3 linked regions of the Macaca mulatta genome follow. The protein of the gene in region 1 interacts with the protein of each later gene in a pairwise test. Links are inferred from orthologs where the notes say so. Each region holds a gene or a part of one and is shown in the gene's direction. Other genes may lie near its edges. The genes, in order: RTN3, CERT1 and PTPN9.

Evidence for each region.
Region 2: the proteins of RTN3 (region 1) and CERT1 interact in binary tests that used the Homo sapiens proteins (3 or more experiments, as listed by UniProt). The link is inferred for Macaca mulatta from reciprocal best matches to the Homo sapiens genes RTN3 and CERT1.
Region 3: the proteins of RTN3 (region 1) and PTPN9 interact in binary tests that used the Homo sapiens proteins (3 or more experiments, as listed by UniProt). The two-hybrid records come from large-scale screens. The link is inferred for Macaca mulatta from reciprocal best matches to the Homo sapiens genes RTN3 and PTPN9.

Annotation. Positions count from the first base shown.
Region 1 is NC_133419.1:10,699,578-10,707,110, reverse strand, and holds part of RTN3 (reticulon-3), read left to right. Parts: intron 1-3,997; coding exon 3,998-6,312; intron 6,313-7,533. UniProt on the Homo sapiens protein: May be involved in membrane trafficking in the early secretory pathway. Inhibits BACE1 activity and amyloid precursor protein processing. May induce caspase-8 cascade and apoptosis.
Region 2 is NC_133411.1:81,910,541-81,918,734, reverse strand, and holds the start of CERT1 (ceramide transfer protein), read left to right. Parts: upstream 1-3,826; 5' UTR 3,827-4,248; coding exon 4,249-4,344; intron 4,345-8,194. UniProt on the Homo sapiens protein: Shelters ceramides and diacylglycerol lipids inside its START domain and mediates the intracellular trafficking of ceramides and diacylglycerol lipids in a non-vesicular manner.
Region 3 is NC_133412.1:53,508,545-53,515,542, reverse strand, and holds the end of PTPN9 (tyrosine-protein phosphatase non-receptor type 9), read left to right. Parts: intron 1-450; coding exon 451-601; intron 602-1,556; coding exon 1,557-1,764; coding exon of another isoform or gene 1,765-1,803; intron 1,804-2,544; coding exon of another isoform or gene 2,545-2,570; coding exon 2,571-2,785; 3' UTR 2,786-4,417; downstream 4,418-6,998. UniProt on the Homo sapiens protein: Protein-tyrosine phosphatase that could participate in the transfer of hydrophobic ligands or in functions of the Golgi apparatus.

The DNA of each region.
Region 1 (7,533 bases):
CTCTGAGCTTGCCCCCAGAAAATAATATACACCCTAAATAGTAAGTTATAATATTTTTATTAGGGAACATTATTAGAGGTTTTTTTATATATCTAGTAACCATGTCATATTAAGTAATCTTTTTTCTTTTTCTTTTTTCCTTTTGTTTTTCTTTTTTTCTTTTCCTTTCTTTTCTTTTTTTTCTCCACTCTGTCACCCAAGCTGGAGTGCAGTGGCATGACCGTGGCTCACTGCAGCCTTGACCTCCCAAACTCAAGCAATCCTCCCACTCCAGCCTCCCAAGTGACTGGGACTACAGGCACGTGCCACCATGCACAGCTAATTTTTCTATTTTTTGTAGGGGCAGGGTCTCACCATGTTGCCCGGGCTGATTTTGACCTCTTGGACTCAAGCAGTCTTCCCTCCTCTGCCTCCCAAAGTTCTGAGATATAGGCGTGAGCCACCACACCCAGCCTAAATAATCTTTAATGTTTGAAGTCTGTCAGGCCATTATGGTGCTCAGTAGAGGACTTCTTAGTATTCTGAATATAGGACTTCTAACGTTATCTTTAGTTTTACCTAAGATTATTCTACACCTAACTTGAAGCTTTTGGAGTACTAAAAGTTCAAGAAAGTTAAGAGAAAAGCAAAACTGATAAACTGACCAGTTTGTGTCCTGCTAAAGCATAGACAGTTTTACCATGCTCTTCCCAGTGATGTGAATATTCTTTGGTTAGCATTCAATTTGGTTGCTTTCTTTTTAGTTTAATCAAGCACCATCACCACTATATCACTGTCATCATCATTTTACTTATTGATTTTGCTTATTGTCTGCCTTCCCCTCTGTGTTGTAAGCTCCATAAAGGCAAGAAATTTTTTCTGTTTTATTCACTGCTTTAAGCCCAGTTTCTAAAACAATGTCTGGCACGTGGTAGGCACTCAATAAATACCTCTTGAATTATTGCTAATTCATTTTGTAGACTTTCATCTGTAAGATGACAGATCTGAATCATCTGAAATCTCCATCTCCATAAGCTGGCTGGGCGCAGTGGGTCATGCCTGTAATCCTAGTACTTTGGGAGGCTGAGGCGAGCGGACTGCTTGAGCTCAGGTGTTCGAGACCAGCCTGGGCAGTGTGGTAAAACCACATCTTTACTAAAAATACAAAAAATTAGCCAGGTGTGGTGGTGCACGCTTGTAATCCCAGCTACTCGGGAGGCTGAGGCAGGAAAATTGCTTGAATCTGGGAGGCGGAGGTTGCAGTGAGCCGAGATTACACCATTGCACTCCATCCTGGGCGACAGAACTAGACTCTGTCTTAAAAAAGCACACAAAAAACACATTAAAAAAACATATAAGCTGAACCTTCCCTGTGGGGTGGAGTCAGTTTGACTTACCTCAGAGTTGTTTGAAGAGAGAGAGAGGTTTCCAAACAGTTTTACAATAACCGTAGTTCACTGAATGCTTTCTGGTAGAAACACTGACTAGTAGCTTCAGTAACAATGCATGGCTCAGATTGTGGAATATTTCTGATTTAAATGTAATCTGTAGTACTTTATACTTCAGATGTTTGAACCTTTTAACCTACAGTGCTGGGCTTCATTTCTGTTATGCCCTAATCTAGTCATGCTGAATATCCATACTATATAATGGCAGATGCAAACCATGTTTTACTAAATTAGAACTACATATGAGTTATAGTTTACTTCAAGTGTTTTGTTTTGGTAATATAGCTTTGCCACCAAGCTTTAACTGTTTTCCTTAACGTACAAAGGCTTTTTATTCTAATAACCAGGTTTCAGTTATACTATTTCTAAAGCTCAGCTCTTATTACATCAAATTTCAGTGATGTGTTGAAGTAGGGGAACTTTATATGGCATTTCAAAACATTTTTATAATAGTGGAATTTTATTTATTGTAAAATATTTTTGTCTTTAATAAAATAATTTTGAATGACGTCATAATTTTGCTTTTATCTGGTATTCGGATGTTTACATGAAAAAGAGAATATAGACTGAATAAAGATAATCCTAAAAGAACTTCTCTGTCACATTTTTCCCAGTTATTCATGCTCAAGGCATTGCTGTCCTGAGCCTACTTAGGTCTCAGCTGACCAAGCTGAATCTTTGATTCACTTATTTGGGGCTATTTATTTAAGACCCACTTTGTTCCAGCTCCAAAGATACAACAATATGCAAGAAAGACAGCGCCCAGGGCTGGGCTTGGTGGCTCATGCCTATAATCCCAGTGCTTTGGGAGGCCAAGGTGGGCAGGTTGCTTGAACCCAGTAGTTTGAGACCAACCTGGCAATGTAGCGAGGCACCATGTCTGCAGAAAGTTTAAAAATTAGCCAGGTGTGGTGGCATGTGCCTGTGGTCCCAGCTACTTGGGAGGCTGAGGTGGGAGGATAGCTTGAGGCCAGGAGGTCAAGGCTGCAATGAGCCACAATTGCACCACTTGCACTCTGGCCTGGAGGACAGAGGAAGACCTTGTCTCAAATACAAACAAATAAGTGAAGTAAGAAAGCACCAGCCCTTGGGATATTTGTTTTGATCCTTTTCCCCAGTAAAAACTTGTTAGAGTAGGAAGTTAGAAAACAGCGTGGTAGATTGATGGCTTATTAACTACTAAGACAACATATTACTTTGAGAAGGATATTTTCTATTTTAAAAGTAATTCTGGAGGTCACTCTTTTTTGTGTGTATGTGTGTGGAGATGGAGTTTCACTTTTGTTACTCAGGCTGGGGTGCAATGGCACGACCTCAGCTCACTGCAGTGCCCGCCTCCCAGGTTCAGAGGATTCTCCTGCCTCAGCCTCCTGAGTAGGTGGGATTACAGGTGCCTGCCACTACGCCTGGCTAATTTTTTTATATTTTTAGTAGAGACAAGGTTTCACCATTTTGGTCAGGCTGGTCTCGAACTCCTGACCTCAGGTGAGCCACTGCACCCGGCCCAGTTAACTCTCTCTTAACCAAAGAAATCAATTTGCACAGTACAATATTGATTTCAATGACAAGTTAGTACAAGAGATTTTGGAGGGGCCATGCGTGGCAGCTCACACCTATAATCCCAGCACTTAGGGAGGCCAAGGTGGGTAGATCACTTGAGGTTGGGAGTTCAAAACCAGCCTGGCCAACATGGTGAAACACCGTCTCTTCTAAAAATACAAAAATTAACCAGGCTTGATGGTACCTGCCTGTAATCCCAGCTACTTGAGAGACTGAGGCAGGAGAATCACTTGAACCTGGGAGGTGGAGGTTGCAGTGAGCTGAGATTATGCGATTACACTCCAGCCTGGGCGACAAGAAAAAGACTCTGTATTAAAAAAAAAAAAAAAAAAAAGATTTTGGAGGGGGTCCACCTTTTTCAGTACGCTTTAGTTTAGAACATCACAGCTATTTATTTGTACATGGGACAGATTCTTCCTGTGGATAGAATAGAATAATTCTAGTCTCATTTTCAGGTCAGAGAGGGTCTACTGCATCTCCTAAAAATCAAAAACAAGTCTGGCCACTTGTTTTTTTCCTTCTCAGATTGTGAGACTATAATAGTGGATTTACAGAGGCAGTCTGTGCTCTGAATTGTTCAGCTTACAGATTAAAGTCTATCAACTCTTTATAGTATCAGGTTATTTATTTTGTATCAATTATTTGCTTTTGTTGATTAGCTCTACCAAAATAATAAAAAACCTCCCAAGATTTCTCAATCTTTCCGCCCTTCTTTATGCTTTCTCTTTACAATGGAAAAGTAGTCCAAAAAGTGTTTGTTAGGAAATTTTTTTGTTACTTGCAGTTTGTGGCATGATATGGCTTTTCTGTTTCACTGTTGGCAGCTTTATGCATGTCCTGTAGGATAACTTGATCATTTTGTTACATATTTATGTGTGTATATATACATCCTGTGTGTGTGTATATATATATATTTATGTAATTTAAAAAATAAAAAGCATGCTGCTTGGCTTGGCTAGCTAATGTGTAATTGTACCTGGTAAACAATTATTTTCTTTGAAATTCTTGAGCTCTCTTTGTTCTGATGAGCCATCTTCAGAAATTATGACATCTTCCTTTCTTTCATCTTCTGAAATACATAACAATGGCCTTACAATACTACATGGAGAAAAAAGCAATGTGTTAGGGAGCCAGCCTATTTTAGCCAAAGAAGGAAAAGACCACTTGGATCTTCTGGATATGAAAAAGATGGAAAAGCCTCAGGGGATCAGCAACAACATGTCAGACTCTCCAATTTCTCTTGCAGCAGGAGTTCATTGTGACCGTCCTTCTATTCCAGCCAGTTTCCCAGAGCATCCTGCTTTGCTTTCAAAGAAAATTGGTCAAGTGGAAGAGCAAATAGATAAAGAGACCAAGAACCCAAATGAGGTATCAAGTAGGGAAGCTAAAACCGCATTGGATGCTGATGACAGATTCACTTTGCTAACAGCCCAAAAACCACCTACTGAATACTCTAAGGTAGAAGGCATTTATACATACTCTTTGTCCCCATCCAAAGTTTCAGGAGATGGTGTTATTGAAAAGGATTCCCCTGAATCACCATTTGAAGTAATTATTGACAAAGCAGCATTTGACAAAGAATTTAAAGACTCGTATAAGGAGAGCACAGATGATTTTGGTAGCTGGTCTATGCACACTGATAGAGAATCATCCGAAGACATTTCAGAGACTAATGACAAGCTTTTTCCACTGAGAAATAAAGAGGCAGGACGTTACCAAATGTCTGCATTGCTCAGTAGGCAGTTTTCACACACAAATGCAGCACTGGAAGAGGTGTCTAGATGCGTGAATGATATGCATAACTTTACTAACGAAATACTGACTTGGGATCTGGTTCCCCAAGTGAAACAACAGACTGATAAATCTTCTGACTGCATCACAAAAACTACAGGACTTGACATGAGTGAATATAATTCTGAAATTCCAGTTGTAAATCTTAAAGTTAACACTCATCAGAAAATTCCTGTATGTTCTATTAATGGGAGCACTCCCATCACTGAATCAACAGGTGATTGGACAGAAGCATCTCTCCTACAAGAAAATGCTATCACTGGAAAACCTATACCCGACTCTTTCAATTCCACAAAAGAATTCAGTATCAAAGGTGTGCAAGGCAGTATGCAGAAACAGGGTGACACACTTGCAGAATTACCTGGATCTCCACCTGAGAAATGTGACTCTTTGGGTTCTGGAGTGGCCACAGTGAAAGTGGTTTTACCTGATGACCACCTGAAAGATGAAATGAACTGGCAGAGCTCTGCATTGGGAGAAATCACAGAAGCTGATAGTTCTGGTGAGTCTGATGACACAGTAATAGAGGACATCACAGCAGATCTATCATTTGAAAATAAGAAAATTCAAGCTGAAAAACCTGTTTCCATTCCAAGTGCTGTTGTAAAAACAGGTGAAAGAGAAATCAAAGAGATTCCCAGTTGTAAGAGAGTAGAAAAAACATCTAAAAATTTTCAAGAGTTGGTCAGTGACTCTGAGCTGCATCAAGAGCAACCTGATATTCTTGGAAGGAGTCCAGCTAGTGAGGCAGCAAAAGTACTCAATATAAATGTCTGCTTAGAAGATGTGAGTGAAGTTGCTCCTGAAAAGCCTGTTACTACTGAGAACCCCAAACTTCCTTCAACAGTGTCTCCAAATGTTTTTAATGAGACAGAATTCTCATTAAATGTGACAACATCTGCCTACTTGGAGTCATTACATGGGAAAAATGTTAAACATATAGATGATTCCTCCCCAGAGGACCTGATAGCAGCCTTTACAGAAACCAGAGATAAAGGAATAGTAGATAGTGAAGGAAATGCCTTTAAAGCAATATCAGAGAAGATGACAGACTTTAAAACAACTCCTCCTGTAGAAGTCTTACATGAAAGTGAGTCCAGTGGTTCTGAAATTAAAGGCATTGGAAGCAAATACAGTGAACAAAACAAACAAACAAATGGAAGTGAGCCTCTAAGTGTTTTCCCTACCCAAGGTACTCCAGTAGCATCTCTTGACTTAGAACAAGAACAGCTCACAATTAAGGCTCTTAAAGAATTAGGTGAAAGACAGGTTGAGAAGTCAGCTTCTGCACAGCATGACGCAGAATTGCCTTCTGAAGAAGTACTGAAGCAAACTTTCACATTTGCTCCAGAATCTTGGCCACAGAGATCATATGACATCCTAGAACATAATGTCAAGAATGGATCCGATCTTGGGATTTCCCAAAAACCCACTACTGTCAGAGAAACTTCTAGGGTAGATGCTGTTTCCAGCCTTAGCAAGACTGAATTGGTAAAAAAGCATGTCCTAGCAAGACTTCTGACAGACTTCTCAGGTAACCATTTATATTAGAATACTGCATGTGGTTAATTCTGTGATTGATTACTTATCAGCGTGCCGTTTATGTTAGAGTCTGATTTATACCTACAAAATTATGGCTAGAATACAAATATAATATACTGTATGATGGGAAAGGCAGACTCCTCTCTCGTCTTTTTTTAAATGATTACTTGATTTGGTTTCCTTAATACCAATATTTCCCAAAAATTTTTTCTATGCTCCAGTTATATTTCAAGGTACTTTTCTTTTCTTTCTTTTTTTTTTTTTTTTTTTGAGACAGAGTCTTGCTCTGTCGCCCAGGCTGGAATGCAGTGGCGAGATCTTGGCTCACCGCAACCTCCACCTCCCGGGTTCAAGCAATTCTCCTGCTTTAGCCTCCCGAGTAACTGGGACTACAGGTGTCAGCCACCATGTCAGGCTAATTTTTGTATTTTTAATAGAGACAGGGTTTCACCATATTGGCCAGGCTGGTCTCGAACTCCTGACCTTGTGATCTGCCCACTTGGCCTCCCAAAGTGCTGGGATTACAGGCATGAGCCACCGCGTCTGGCCAGTTACTACTTTTCTTTTTTTTTTTTTTTGAGATGGAGTCTCACTGCGTCCCCCAGGCTGGAGTGCAGTGGCGCGATCTCGGCTCACTGCAAGCTTTGCCTCCCGGGTTCACGCCATTCTCCTGCCTCAGCCTCCTGAGTAGCTTGGACTACAGGCACCCACTACCGCGCCCAGCTAATTTTTTGTAATTTTAGTAGAGACGGGGTTTCACCGTAGTCTCGATCTCCTGACCTTGTGATCCGCCCGCCTCGGCCTCCCAAAGTGTTGGGATTACAGGTGTGATCCACCGCTCCCGGTCTACTTCTTTTCTTATAGGTTGGCCCTAGGGTGATATTAGTTGAGAACCTAATATCATCAGGTTCTTACTTATGTACAAAGCTTATTTTTAAATCTCCACAATAGTCACACTTTTTAGCACTTGAGTTTTTTGATATGTGCCTTGTGGAATCTTAGCAATCAAAGATAAAGGAATTCCTGCTGGGAAAGATAGTAAATGAAACTTTTAATTAATGTGATCATATACTATAGAGATTTTATGCCCTGAAAGTAGGTAGCCAGTATTGTAGTACTATTTTGTGAGTAATGCTTAGGAGAACTCATGCGTTCTTCTACTTTCTATCTTATTTAATATTCTTCAGGCCAAAACTCATTATTGGATGGTACT
Region 2 (8,194 bases), on another chromosome or scaffold:
TGTGGTCTATATACACAATGGAATTTAGCCATAGAGAAAAGAATATCGGGCCTGGCATGTTGGCTCATGTCAAATCTCAACACTTTGGGAGGCCAAGGCAGGAGGACTGCTTAAGGCCTCCCTATTTCAAGAATAAATGGAATAAAAATTTGAGTTTGCTATATTTTTATTTTTATTATAATTTCTAATAAAGTTGTTTTTCCGCTATCCCTTTATTGCTGCTTCTCAGGACTATTCATAAAATGACCAAAAATATAAAAAATAAAATGATAGTAAATGACAATGACTATTTTTCTTGATAATACTAAATGTTAAAATCAACACGTTATTCCTTTTAGCAGCAACACAAGACAAGGTGATAGTTGCAAGAGGCTCCAGAGATCATTTAAATTATTTATGGGTAATTGGAACATATACTTGCTAGTACACACTAGCAAGAAAAGAATTGTAAACTGGCTCTTATGTTATTGTACCTTAAAAATGTATGTGGGTGAATTTTCTTTTAAGAAAACCGTTAAACTAAAGAAAAACTATGTAACACACCTAGAACGTAATCTATCTGGCTCTGACAGATTCTCAAATGTTTAATCATTTAAAATAATTTGGGATAATAGTGTTTTGGAATTTTTTTTTTTTTTTTTTTGAGACAGGGTCTCACTTTGTCACCTACACTGGAGTACACTAGCACGATCACAGCTCACTATAGCCTCAAACCTCTGGGGTCAAGCTAGCCTGTCGCCTCAGCACCCTGAGCAGCTAGGACTACAGGTATGTACCATTATGCCTGAGTGACAATCTAAAATCAATTCTATACGTATTAAAAGTTATGTATTACAAGCGTCTAAGGTCCAAAGCCTGGACTAGACTATTCACTAGCGATGATCTGGGCAATTTACTTAACTTCTTTGAATGTTAATTTCCTCATGTGTAAAATAAGAATAATGTCTACCTTGCAGGATTTTTGTGACGAGTGAATAAATCAAATGAACCTAAAACAATGTTTGACATTTTGTAGGCCTTTAGCAAATGACACTTGCTACTTACAAAAAGCTATGATGTTATTTGATTCTTTGGTCTCTGACTGATTTTAATCACGTTAGTGATTTTTTTCTTGGGCCCTGTTAATGGCAGTTCCTACAACTTCCCTTCAATTATCAACCAGGCTAAACTTATTTCATTCATCGGTTATTATTTACTGAAAACCTCCTACGTCACAGGCAATTTAAAATCTTTATTCACTTTCTACACATAATTATTGTCAGAATACCTAGACAGTAAAATGCTAGAAAACAATGACTCTACAGAAATGGTTTATATTTTACTTTTATAGTATCTCAGATGATCATATAGCAAGATCTTAATAAAGATCTTAAACAGGGATAAACTATATTTTCATAAGCTATCACCATAGCAACATGTATGCTCTATAGAAATATTTTTTCAACTTATTTGACTAAGAAGAAAAAGATTTGAAATTATAGAAGTGAAACAATAAAAGGGTTAGAAAAAAACAAGAAGCAAAACACGTTTACAAAATAACTATCATGAGGATTCTACTGATACATAAGATACCACCACACTGCTTTATATAGTATGCCTTTAAAATATTAATAAAATAATTTCTCAATCTAACAGGAAAAGCAATTCAAAAGCTAAGCAAAATAAAAACGAAAGAAAGAACATGTGTACATGCCAAGAGTGGGCACTAATACTGTTCATCAGTGTACTGTACTGTGTGATTTTTAGACTAAAAGGTTTTTCAATGTTATAGTGAAGCCTATGAAATACCAACTACCCTAACAAGTTTTTATCCCATAAACCAAACAGATATGAGTAAAAGATAAGGGAATATATTTTTCAATTTCATTGAATAGTAAGAATATTTCTCCTTGAAACATTCCTCGCCTGGCTCTCATTTGTACAACAGGAAACAGAATAAAAAGGGTGGCCTACACACCCTTTGAAATTCCATTTCTGAAATCACTGTCTTATTCTCGAATGTTAGAACTTTTTGTGGGATCTGACATATTCTCAAGTAGCTGTGAAGTGCATTAAGGTATCAATGAGTACCCCCATCTACCTCTTCCCTCCCACTTTTCCAAAAATACAGCTGCCTTTGGAACCTTAAATGGTAAAAATCAACAGATAAAGGAGTCTTAGACAGATATGCTAAGTCACCTTAAGGATCAAAGCTGCAGAATAAGACATGGCAGTATGAGCATAATACAGTAATAATTGACATTAGTAAAAGAATTCATCAATATAAATGGAGTGTGGATGGTCAGAAAAGGAAGTAAAAGAAAGCAAGATACATATTGGCAATGCCTACTTAAATATCCACTGCCACGATAGAGATAACCTAGCTTCATGCTACCAAACATTTAGAATCGTAATTAATCCCCCATTGAGGAAGTAAAAAATAGGAAACTGGGATATGGGAAAAGGTCATCAAGCCTAGATTTGAAACCAGGATATAAAGAGCTGGAATTACAGGCACCCGCCACCCTGCTCGGCTAATCTTTGTATTTTTAGTAGAGACGGGGTGGTCTCAAACTCCCGGCCTCAGGTGATCCGCCCAACTCGGCCTCCCAAAGTGCTGGGATTACAGGCGTGAGCCACGGCACTCGGCTAGCGTTTTCCCTTAGACTCGAAATTTCGCTCCTATTGTCCCATCCTTGTAGTAAAAAAGGTATTCTTTCTAAGGCTTAATAACAAATTTTACTCTTGGCAATTATCAGGAACTCGACTATATTAAAATAGCTAACGAGAGGAAATTACTGAAGCTACAAAGTCAAAGGTCTCACCATCAAAGTTATCCTTGACAACTGACAAGAGCTGTTAGATCTTCTTTTGGTCTTTCTGCTAATTCAACCCTAGTCTTAAAAATAGCCACCTATTGCCTAATCCCCTAATCTCGTATTTCTAATACGAGAAAGTTTCTATATATCCAAACTTTCCTATCTTTGAGGGGCAGGCATGGTTAACGTGGTTCTCAGTAAGATATTCATTTACAACTAAGAGAAAATCCCAGGCTATCATCTGACATTCTTGTTTTACTTTAAAAACCTTTCTAACGTTATTTATTCTCTGACAACCTCAAAATTACTTTCCACAAAGAAAATTCTAGAAATCTAAAAATGCGAAGTGCGTGCTTGTCAGAAGGTACTAAGGAAATTCTTCCTTTAAACGTCAAATGTGAATTCTAACTTCTAATGGGTAAGACCCTCGAGATTTACAGCGGTGGTCTGGTGGAAAGAAAACCCCCTTGGCACTAGGAGCTCACAAAACCCCATCCCGTGGTTGAGGCGGAAGCGGCTACGCGCTCCCGGGCTTTCGACAAGCAGCCCTGCAACGCAGGCCCGTCATCTTCAGCAGAAAGCTCTCTCACGTCCTGGCCCGCAAGCCCGGAGGGTTCGTCATAAACACACAAGGCAAGGATAGAAGCGAGGCCAAGAGGCAGGTCACGCAACTGTCAAACGAAGCCCACCCACCGACTGACAAGTCCCCAAGGCGACAAGCGATCCCCGCGCGGGATACTCACCCGTTACCTCAGGATCGCGACTACAACTCCCAGGAGGCTGGGCGAGCGACGAACCAACGCCCTTCCCAGAATGCAGCACAGCGGCATCCCTATCCCGCCCTCTCCTTACTGCGCTCCTCCTACTTTTCTACCCCTCGTCATCCGGGAGAGCCGGAGGTAGGGTGCGGGAGGAGGATCCCGCACGCTTGGCGTGTCGCGTCAGACGCCGGGAGGGGGACGGGGCGGGGAGGAGGAGGGGAGAATGGGAGGACGAAGGGGAGGGGAAAGGACAGGGGAGGGGAGGGTAAATAGTGGGCCAGGCAGCAAGATGGCGGCGGTAGCGGAGGTGTGAGTGTACTCGGGTCTCAGCGGCCGGATTTTCTCTTCCCTTCTTCTCCCTTTTCCTTCGCTATTTGAAATTGGCATCGAGGGGGCTAAGCTCGGGTGGCAGCACCGGGCGCAACGCAGGGGTCCCGGCGACGGCGGCGGCGGCTGACGGCTGGAAGGGTAGGCTTCCTTCACCGCTCGTCCTCCTTCCCCGCTCCGCTCGGTGTCAGGCGCGGCGGCGGCGCGGCGAGCGGACTTCGTCCCTCCTCCTGCTCCCCCCCACAGCGGAGCTGGCACTCTTCGCTTCGCCATCCCCCGACCCTTCACCCCGAGGACTGGGCGCCTCCTCCGGCGCAGTTGAGGGAGCGGGGGCCGGTCTCCTGCTCGGCTGTCGCGCCTCCATGTCGGATAATCAGAGCTGGAACTCGTCGGGCTCGGAGGAGGATCCAGAGACGGAATCTGGGCCGCCTGTGGAGCGCTGCGGGGTCCTCAGTAAGGTGAGCAACCGGTGGTGCCAGGGGACCCCTGGCCAGACTCACCTGCCGCGAGGCAATCCGCTGAGGCGGTGGGGTGGGGCTGGCGGGAGGCGCGGAACGTGCCGGGGTGCGAGGCTGAGTACTGCTGCGGCGACTAGGGATGAGGCGGGGATATAGGGGGCCTGTCCTTGCTGCCCGAGGGCTCGTCGGGGGCAGCCGAGGACCAGGGAAAGGGTGTATCAACCGGGGATCCAGTTTGGGAGACCAGATGCGTGCCGTGCCTTGGGACCTAGGGCGGCAGCTGTCCCGGGTGTAAGGAATCCGGGTTGGGCTTCAGCGGTGTCCGAACGACTGGGCACGGGAGCGGTTCAAGTCGGACCTCTTAAAAGAGGTTGGTCTGTCTGAGGATGCTAAGCCGAGTAGGTTGGGGGGCACTGCGGACGCAGCTGTTTCGACAGAAGCCGGAGCGACTCAGCTTGGTGTTGAAATTTGAGGTGTTGAACTCGCCAGGTTAGATGTAGTGAGACAGATTAATGTGGAGGACTTTCTCCCTCACCCTGTACCTTAGTTCAGAATAGAGATATTGAATCGGCACGTGATGGGTACAGGAAATATTCATAGTAACTTGAAACATGTGAGAAAGGAGACTGATCTTTAGTCCAGGAAGAAGAGCATTATTTAATAATAAACTCTTTTTGCGGTAAGGGGTCCAGGGTAAGGAAAAGATGTTTTACCTTTTATGTATTTTTTAAAATCCGTGTATCAAAATTTTAGGAAAGCAGCCATTATAGAACTGCAGATGGGTGATCTCTTGATATTACGTGGTTGGGATTTTTTTTTTTTTTAAGTTTTTGCTATAAGAAGATTCACATAGCCTTTTGGACTTCTCTCCCCCTTCCTGTTAAACTTTTTTAGAAATGGCTGGAGCTAGCAGTTAACTTGGAGAGGGGGAGCTGGGCCAGTCCCTCAACAAGCTGGTCATAAGATACTATGTCATGTGCAGCTACTGGCTATTAAGAAATCACCCTGTTTCCAGTATTCATACTTTGGCACATCACTTGGACATTATTTGTGGAATTGTTTAATATAATGCTTTTATAATGTCTGTAGAAAGCTAATGAGAAGGGAACTAGAAAAGGCATGAGTAGTCAGAACTAAGGATTGCAAGTGTTGACTTTTATTTGTATAGCCGAAAAATTAGTTGTATATTGATGCTGTGATCATTCTTGAAATTTCAATGCAAGGTTTTCAGTAACGAGAAGCTCCTCAGGATTTCTTTACATTAAATGTATCCTGTAATTTAGGAATCTCTATTGAACACATTGTGTAGTAGGTACACATTTTCAGTTGATAATAGGAAGTGGGTTACTTGCTTCTCAGTGATTTTGATAGTTTCATCACTGCTCATAAGATGGGAAGCTGACTGCCATATTAGTAATGTGATGTGTTGAGTATTTTACAAAACAAATTGTAATTTTGACCTACTGATAATTACTTTTTTGGGGGTTGGGGGAATGGAGTGACTGGGGGAAAAAGTCACCAGTGCTCTGAGTTTTACTTTATGTGGAGTAGGTATACTATAGATCAAAAAATGGAAGACCAATCTCGATATTTAAATGCATACAAATGCATTTGATCACCTCTGTGGAAGGTGAATAACTTAAATTTTGACTGTTGCTTCTTATGTAGAATGAATAGGAATACAGCTTTTGGTATTCTTGCTAATAGCTATGAAGGAAATTTTCCTGAGATTTACCAATTTATGGTTATATACAGTGTTTTCTGGAAACTTTTTAATCAAGGGTATTCTAAATTGAATATATATACTCATACTGAGTATGGTGCATGTTTTTAAATGTAAATTATATATTTTGAATTCTTCATATTCACCTGGTAATTTAAACAAGGATCAGAACTCGGCTTTTGTTCTTTTCCTTCCATTGAATAATGTAAATAAGTCCCGGTACAATTTGTTTCGTTTGTCCCCCAAAATGGGGTGGATTTGGAATGGGCTTGGGTAAATTTATATTAGAAATATACCAGTTCAAAGGGTATTTTCCATATGGTAATCTGAAATATATGGAAATACCTATGAAGCATATTTCTTATAAATCACTTAAGTGTATAGATTCCAAAAATACTTGATAGACAATAATTCTGTCTGGTTATAACAAGTATCGTGATGGATCATGGTGGGGAAAAGATGCATGCCTTAGTAGGACTTGAGAGCAACTAAGGCTGGATAAAATAATCTCATTCAATTTCTGAATTTCCTCCATCCTTCATGGTTTACCTTCTGTTTTTGCACACACTAAACTGTTTGAAATTCTATCCATCCTTAAGAGTCCAAGTCAAATACTGTCCTTTCCGTAAAGCCTTTTTGTATTTTGCCATCATTCAAGACCTCCTTCACTTGAATTCCCATAGCATTTTGTTTTATTCTAAATATATATTTTTTTCTCTTGTGTTTGTGTTTGCTGGCCTGTTTGCCACAGTAACATTCAGTTCTCCTGCAATGTCTAGCATATTGCCTTGTCTGTATTTGTTAAATGGGGAAGAGTGAGGGAACATTATGAGAGCAGAGAAAAGACAAAAAACTTGTCTTCCAGGTGTCATAATAACAGCTAACAGCTTACTGAGAAAAGAGTCCTGAAGCTGATATAGTTTGTTCAGCCTCTTACAAGAACATAATATTGAATTACGGATACATAATTGCTGGGGTCCCTTCTCTAATATTGAAAGAGTTCTGTTCTAGTGAGAAATGCTGAAGGTTAAGCTTCATTAGCCATGTATAACTCTTCCTCAGATTCAGAAAATACTATGTCCAGGCACTGTTCTAAGTCTATTCTTGTTTAAACTTAACTCTGAGAGACAGAGTTTGACAAAGAAAAGAACACAGAGTAAGTAACTTGACCACTATCACAAAATTTAGCCTTATGAAGTGTGGTAATTATAAATGAGGTAAGATTAATCCATGGTGGGTCTTGAATGCCCTAAACAATTTGTATGACAGTCAGTGGGAAGTTGTCCATGTAAGTTTTGGAGCTGGAGACTCAATACGGTCAACATGTAAGAAAAGTAAGCAAACATGCTTAGTAAGTAAATAAGCTTGTGTAAATTATGAAAAACACAGAAGATACTAGAGAAAAGATTAAGTCCTGTAAGGAATACAGGAACTGGGTAATTTGATTGGAATAGTTGAAAATGAGAAGAGGAGGCAAATTTAAGGGTTTACTATGAAGGAAAGATAAGCAGGTTTTGGTGATGGGCTATAAATATTGAGAAGGAACACTTAGGAGTATCTTCTGTGACTATGCTAGGCATTTTCATTATTTTATTCAGCCATCAATCAACAGGCAAAGAAACTGAAGCTTACAAAAGTAACTTGTCAAAACTCTCTTCACGTGAGTTGTAGAGTAGTTGAGCCTGTTTAATCCTGTATACACTAATCTGTTTGTATATCTAATACACAGACTCTGAGCAGAAGTAGCAGGAAAGAAGAAGTAGGAAAATAGGAAGGAAGTACACCTTATAGAAGTAAATTCAGTTTTGTTGGTAACTATCATTTATTTCAACCCTTTGTCTAAGTGGTGGTACATCACAAGCGGTTAGAAATAAGGAAGTGGTGATTAGGAGCCACTAGAATGAGTTAAATTGTCAGCTTGGATGAGTTCTCAGAGAGGGGTTGTAATGATGGGGCTTAGAAAAATTAAGAACTGGCTAGGGATGGTGGCTCACCTGTAGTCCCAGCACTTTGGGAGACCAAGGAAAACAGATCCTTGAGCCCAGGAGTTTGAAACCAGCCTTGGCACCATAGTGAAACCTCATCACTACAAAAAGTTAGCCAGACGTGGGGGCACGCACCTGTAGT
Region 3 (6,998 bases), on another chromosome or scaffold:
TTTTTTTTTTTGAGATGGAGTCTCACCATGTTGCCCAGGCTGGTCTCAAACTCCTGGTCTTAGGTGATTCTCCTTCCTAAGCCTCTCAAGTAGCTGGGGTTACAGGCATGCACTACTACCCCCAGCTACTATACTGTTTTTTTCTCTGTTCACCCGGTATTTATCCCACATATATGAGAAGTACTATTGCATATTAGGAAAAAGACTAAATGCTGTAGTAAGTGCTCAGTAACTGTATGCTATATGAGTACATGCAGAAACTTTGGCTGTGAGTACATTTGTTTAGAATGAAGAGGTTTCCTTTCCTTTCTGCTGAGAATAAATGGTGTAAGTTAGAAGCAATGCAAGAGATGATATTGCTGCCTGGGGGTATATCAGGTCTTTGTGGAAGCCCGGTTACTGCTGTGGAGAGGAAGGATGGAAGGCTTACCTTGCTCTGTGTGTCTTCAGCTTTGAAGAAGGCGGCAGGAGAAAGTGTGGCCAGTACTGGCCTTTAGAAAAAGACTCTCGGATCCGATTTGGCTTCCTCACAGTGACCAATCTAGGCGTGGAGAACATGAATCATTATAAGAAAACAACACTAGAAATTCACAACACAGAGGTAAATCCAGGTTTCTTTTTTCTGACCTTATTGAAACAGGGGGAGAATACTTACTGTAATGAAAATCTCCAGAGGGAATAGATAGGATACCAGGGAGGTTATGAGTTGCTTCTGTTTTTCTAGGGACAGGATGAGGATATTTAACTCACAGCCAATATAGCCATATTACTGCAGCACAATAGGAACATTAAATAGGAGTAAAGCTTATAGAAATCTGGGGCTGGGTAAGGCCGGGCGCGGTGGCTCAAGCCTGTAATCCCAGCACTTTGGGAGGCTGAGGCGGGCGGATCACAAAGTCAGGAGTTCAAGACCAGCCTGGCCAACGTAGTGAAACCCTGTCTCTACTAAAAAATAGAAAAAATTAGCTGGGAGGCAGAATCGCTTGAACTCACAATGCGGAGGTTGAAGTGAGCAGAGACCTCACCACTGCACTCCAGCCTGGGCGACAGTGAGAGACTGTCTCAAAAAAAAGTAAAATAAAGAAAGAAGTCTGGGGCTGGATGCAATGGCTTACGTCTATAATCCCAGCACTCTGGGAGGCAGAGGTGGAAGGATCACTTGAGCCCAGGAGTTCAAGACAATCTAGGCAACACAGTGAGATCTCGTCTCTACAAAACATAGAAAAAATTAGCTGATCATGGTGGCACACGCCTGTGAGGTCAAGGCAGCAGTAAGTTTGATCATGCCACCGTACTCCAGCCTGGGCGACAGAGTGAGATCCTGTCTCAAAAAAAAATTCTGGATCTTACAGTATAGGAATTCTGCCTTTTCCAAACAATTAACCAACCCTTCCTTTGGGTTTATAGTAAAGAAGCAGTTACGGGAAAAGTTGACAGTGGTGGATAGAAGCCTTGGTGGTAGGGATAACCAGGGTGTTGAGAATCTGGAAAAGCCAGTGGTAGCTAGGGGCAGGCAGAAATAACCTCGTTAACGTTTACTTCTTTTCTCATCTAAGGAACGGCAGAAACGCCAGGTGACCCACTTCCAGTTCTTGAGCTGGCCAGACTATGGTGTCCCTTCCTCAGCAGCTTCCCTCATTGACTTCTTGAGAGTGGTCAGAAACCAGCAGAGCCTGGCTGTGAGCAACATGGGAGCACGCTCCAAAGTGCAGTGCTCTGAGCCACCCATTGTGGTCCATTGCAGTGCAGGCATTGGCAGGACAGGTAATGCACCTAATGCAGCTCTTGGTGTCTGCAGAGGCAGTAGGGGTGGAGGAGGAAAAACAAAGCTCTTAGCCCACATCTGTGATTGGAGAAGGAACTCACTTGCTCCCTTGGTGGTGAATTGCTGTGAAAAATCCCTCTTCTAATGTCCTTTTGGTGGACCAAGTGATGGCCAGAATATATATTTCACAAGCCAAGTCCTCTAGGGGTTGATGTTTTATATACCCCATCATAACGCTGATCCTGTCACTTGTTAGCACTGTCGCTGCAGGTATCCCAGGGAGCTCAGCTGGTCTGCTGCTTCCTTCCCATATAGCCCTCCCTGGAGGGACTCCCCACCCTGTGCTGTGTTCTCCATTCTGGAGCCAGTTAGCAGCTTTTGTCTTAAGGGCATGTACATGGTAGAAAATGTTGGCCTTTCTAGTTCAAAGGTCCTTTGGGAGAAAGTTGGGAATAGGTTTGTGTTAGGCCTCTGAAAAACTTGTGGACTCTGGAAATTAGGTGTGGGAGTGCTGTCAGTCTGTCTGTCTGGGATTGAAGCAGGAAGTTCCCTTATGTCACCTTCCCGTTTCCACTTCCTGTTACCCCAGTGTATGTCCTGAGAGGTAAGAGGCCTTCTCATTTCTCTGGCCTCCAACACTCCCTGTGACCTCCTCCTCGAGTCCTTTCAGGCCTAAGGCCACCTGGCCTTCTGCCAAGAGGTGCTTTGCCTTTGAATTCATTCATTCAGTTCTCCCTGGGTTATTTGGTAGAGGGAGGAGGAGAGGAGAGGTAAACCAGATGTGATCACTTCCTTCCTTCTTCAGGTACCTTCTGCTCACTGGACATCTGCCTGGCACAGCTGGAGGAGCTTGGCACCCTTAATGTGTTCCAGACGGTGTCACGCATGAGGACCCAGAGGGCCTTCAGCATCCAGACCCCTGAGCAGTACTATTTTTGCTACAAGGCCATCCTGGAGTTCGCAGAGAAGGAGGGCATGGTATCCTCTGGCCAAAACCTGCTGGCTGTGGAGGGTCAGTAACTCTCCCACGAACCTCCTACCTGCTGGCCAGCCTTCCTTAAACTACCCTGGACACCGCTGAGCCTATAGGTTGCCATCAGTTACGCTGAAGCCATGGATCAACTTCTTTCTTCTGTCTCCCGGCACACGTGTGCACACAAGGCAGCCTTTCCCTTTGGCTAGATAAATGTGGTGAAATTGCCACTAGAAAGGGCCAGCAGCAATGTGTTCTTAATTCCTAGCACCTGCTATCGAACTGTGCCTTATTAAAACCAAATTGTGGCTATTGATTTTTGCCAGGGTCCCCGAGGTAAGTGGGGAAGGAACCTCCCTCCTCCTTTCTCCCACCATTCTCTTTCTGGAGGTCTCCTGTCTCCCACTCCTTCCCTTTGCTAGGATTTTATGGGGAGGTTTGATGAGCATTTGCCTTTCTCCCCAGAGAGCTTGACCAAGTTACATATTCTAGAGATCGTCCTGAGTGCCAAGCACGTTTATAAGTAGGGCGTGTATTCGAGTCCTGTCATTCTGTGTGTGTGCGTGTGTGTACTTATGTGTATGGGTCCATATGTACGTGTGTATATAATATATATTGTATGTGATAATATGATCGTATTCTATAAATACATATACACACAGATATTCCTTTGTAGAAGTTCCTGGGGCTCTGTGTTGCAGTTCAGGACTCCTTGCTTCTTGGACCCTGCTATTTATCCTGGACTAGCTTGGGTTGGTGATCATGTCTCCTGTTGTCAGGCTACAGAGTGGTGGAAGAGGACACACACACTTCTCCATGTTCCTGCCACGGGGCCCCTTCCTTAAGTAATGACTTACCTCCCTCCTATTGGAGCCACGAATGTATTAGTTTGTGGTGACACTGGGTTAGCTCAGCATGGATTTCCCTTATCTGATGATTTTTCTGCGTTTACTTGGCCAATTTGGGGAACAGACCTCCACTGTGATTCCGTACTCTCTCTTTGCTTTCACTATCCCATGGATGGGAGGCGGAGGGTAGAGATGAACTCACTGAGCAGCCAGAGCCACATGCAATCGGTACGAAGTCTTAGAAGGAAGGAGGCGTAGCCCAGGTATGAGAGAGAAAAAACTACTAAGAAAATGCCTCCCTGGGAGGATGGGCTGGGGCCCTTTTTCTTTTGCTGGATGGTTCCTTTATGAAGCTTGGCCGTCTACTGAGATGCCCATCTCTTCCTGCCTGCTAGCCTGCTAGACCCTCAAACTGGGTGGGTTCTGTGTCAATAAAAAGCTTTACCCTCTGGCTGAGTGAGGTGGTCCCCTGCAATCACTGTTTGTCCCCTACCCACCCAGCCTGTCCCTGCCTGCTCCCAGCCCACTCATCCTTATGTGCTAGGGATAAATCAAGAGTCCTTAGCACTCCACATTCCCAAGAAAATCCCAGGAACTCCTAAACCTTCCCCTGTCACAGAAGATGAGGTTGGCAGCTGATGAGACCTCAATAATTTTATATTGTAATAAGCTCTTTGAATGTGTATATTCTTATTTTTTACAATCATTTCATTTTTGTATTTAATATCAATGGACTGAGGCAGATTCAGAAAATAATTGTAATGTTCATATTCAATATCTTACAGTGATACAGTTTTGTATTTACATATAAATATACCGACATGATCAAAACCCTTTTAGCTTCATCAATTTAGCAGCCTGGGACATGAGGGAGGGGGTCCAGGAGCTGGTCTGGGAGGGATGAGGGAGGCAGGGAGGGACCCAAGGCTTCAGTATCTGAGACTTAGAGTTCTGACACTATGAGTTCACCTTGTCTGTAAGCCATGGCCCTATATCTGGACAGAGGGACCAGCACCAGTTCAGTGCTTGAGATGTGCTAAGTGCTATGCTAGGTGCTTTTTTCCTCATTGCTTCATTCAAACCTCACAACAATTCAGTGAGATATTATTATCTTCTCTCCCTTCTCCTGTGCACCCCTTTCTCATTTCTATATAGATGAGGAAAGTGAGGTCCAGAGGGTTACAGTGATTTGCTCTAAAACGAGCTCAAGTTGGTCTGCTTACAAAGCCTGTGGTCTCCTCACTGCATGGAAGATGGAGATCTTGTCTTTGGAGAACAGAGGTTTGTTTAGCTGTCCTTTCAGAGTATAAATAGTTCTTAAGTTCCAGGTTGTTGTTCTTGTGCCCATGCTTCATGTAGTAGACTCGAAGCGCGACAGGGTTGGTGACTGACTCTCCTAGCTAGGACCTCCTGATGTGGGGTCCTCATGTCTGACTGACTTTCCTAGCTAGGACCTCCTGATGTAGGGTCCTCATGTCTGCAGAGTACCAAAAGGGTTGTCATTCTCCCCAGGAAACTCCCTATCTATGGATACATGGTGTTTGTGAGAAGATTTTGAGTCATTTGCATTTCTCTCGTAGAAAGAATGGAACCAGAAGCTTTGTCCATGGAAGACCACTCCCCATATCACACCTGTTGGCTGGTGATGGCTTGCCCAGTTGGGGCAATTGTGGCTGGGAAATATTGAGGTGTTCTTAATAATAGTCATAGCAAGCAATTTACTGGATGCTTACTCTATTCCAGGCACTGTTTAGAGTAATTTCTAGGTATCATTTCATTCACCCTCCACAACCTTTTGAGGTAGGTATTGACAGAAGAAAAAAATTGAGAGACAGGAATGTTAATTTGCTACAGCCAGGATCCAGACCATCTGACTCCAAAGTACCTTCTTTCAACTCTTACACTAGACTTCCTCTAAGGATCCATCTTCTGATCTGCCAATAAATTTTTATTGAGTTTCTTACTATAATCAGGAGCTCAAGTGTAGAGCAGAAGATTAATCTAGTTCCTTCTCCAGATAAGCCTCCATTCTCTTGGGAGTGCACAAACATAAGAAGTGAACAGAGATTCTTGGAAATTTGAGAAACCAGAGAGGTTAGGGGTTTAGTGGAACGTGTAAGAAATGGGATTAATGATAAAAGGCCTGGAGGAGGTAACTTTAAATTGTCATTTATTTGAAGAGGCTGTAACCCAACTGCCCTGTGAATATAAAGTTATGCTTGAATTCCTCATTGCATATCTGAAGATTGGTGAGGTTATCTATCACTTGAGCTCCATAAAATGCTGATTCCTGGGTCCATCCAGTAGGTTGTTAGTGAGTGACAGGATGATCCAGGTTTGGGAACCACAGATTTAGTTCATGTTTCTGACTCTGTAGAGAGTTAACGAATTGATGTCTCCTAAATTTTCAATAAAACTCGAGGAACTCCTCCCACTGCCATTGTTTGTAGCTTTTACCAGTTTGATCCTACCTGTGTTAGGTGTTAAAGGAGGAGGGAAAGGGAAGGCAGAGACGCAACCCAGAATCTGTTTGGCAAGTCGGGATTCTCATATAGGAGACTTACTGAACAAAGCAAGAGAAAATGTTCAGGGTCTGGGTGCGGTGGCTCACGCCTGTAATCCCAGTAGTTTGGGAGGCCGAGGTGGGCAGATCACCTGAGGTCAGGAGTTCGAGACCAGCCTGACCAATATGATGAAACCCCGTCTCTACTAAAAATACAAAAATTACCTGGGTACGGTGGCTTGTGCCTGTAATCCCAGCTACTCGGGAGGCTGAAACAGGAGAATCGTTTGAATCTGAGAGGCAGAGGTTGCAGTGAGCTGAGATCGTGCCATTGCACTCTAGCCTGGGCAACAAGAGTGAAACTCCGTCTCAAAAAAAGTAAATAAATAAAAAAGAAAGACAATGTTCAGGAAAGAAGAAAACACTGTGAGCTAAAGCAGGCTTCTGCTTCTGATTTGATTGCTGTTTTTTTCACCTTTCTCTAACATTCCTATGCTATATAATTTTTCAAACATGAGAGAATCCCCATGTCCTTTTTCCCATTGCTCCCTTCATCTTGCCCATCCTTGTTGGCTAGGATGGGACTTCTGAGGTGAAGGGTGCGCCAGCATCCTCAGCCTAGGAGGCCCACCCTTGTCAGTCTTCATGTGACAGTATGCAGGTAAATGACAGAGTAGGACTTGTTCTTGGGAGAATGGACTATTTAGCATCACAGCCCTAGGGAAATTTGGTTCCTTCCCTGAAAGGGATGCTTCTTGTCTATTGGGACAGACAGACACACATACAAAAACTTTTATAAATCAGAGACCTAGAGGGAATTGGGCCAAGAGGCACTGGCCAAGTAGAAAGGCTTCTCTAGAGTGACCCAGCTCTTTGGTGGTTTTGAGGTCTTACCACTCAACCCAACCC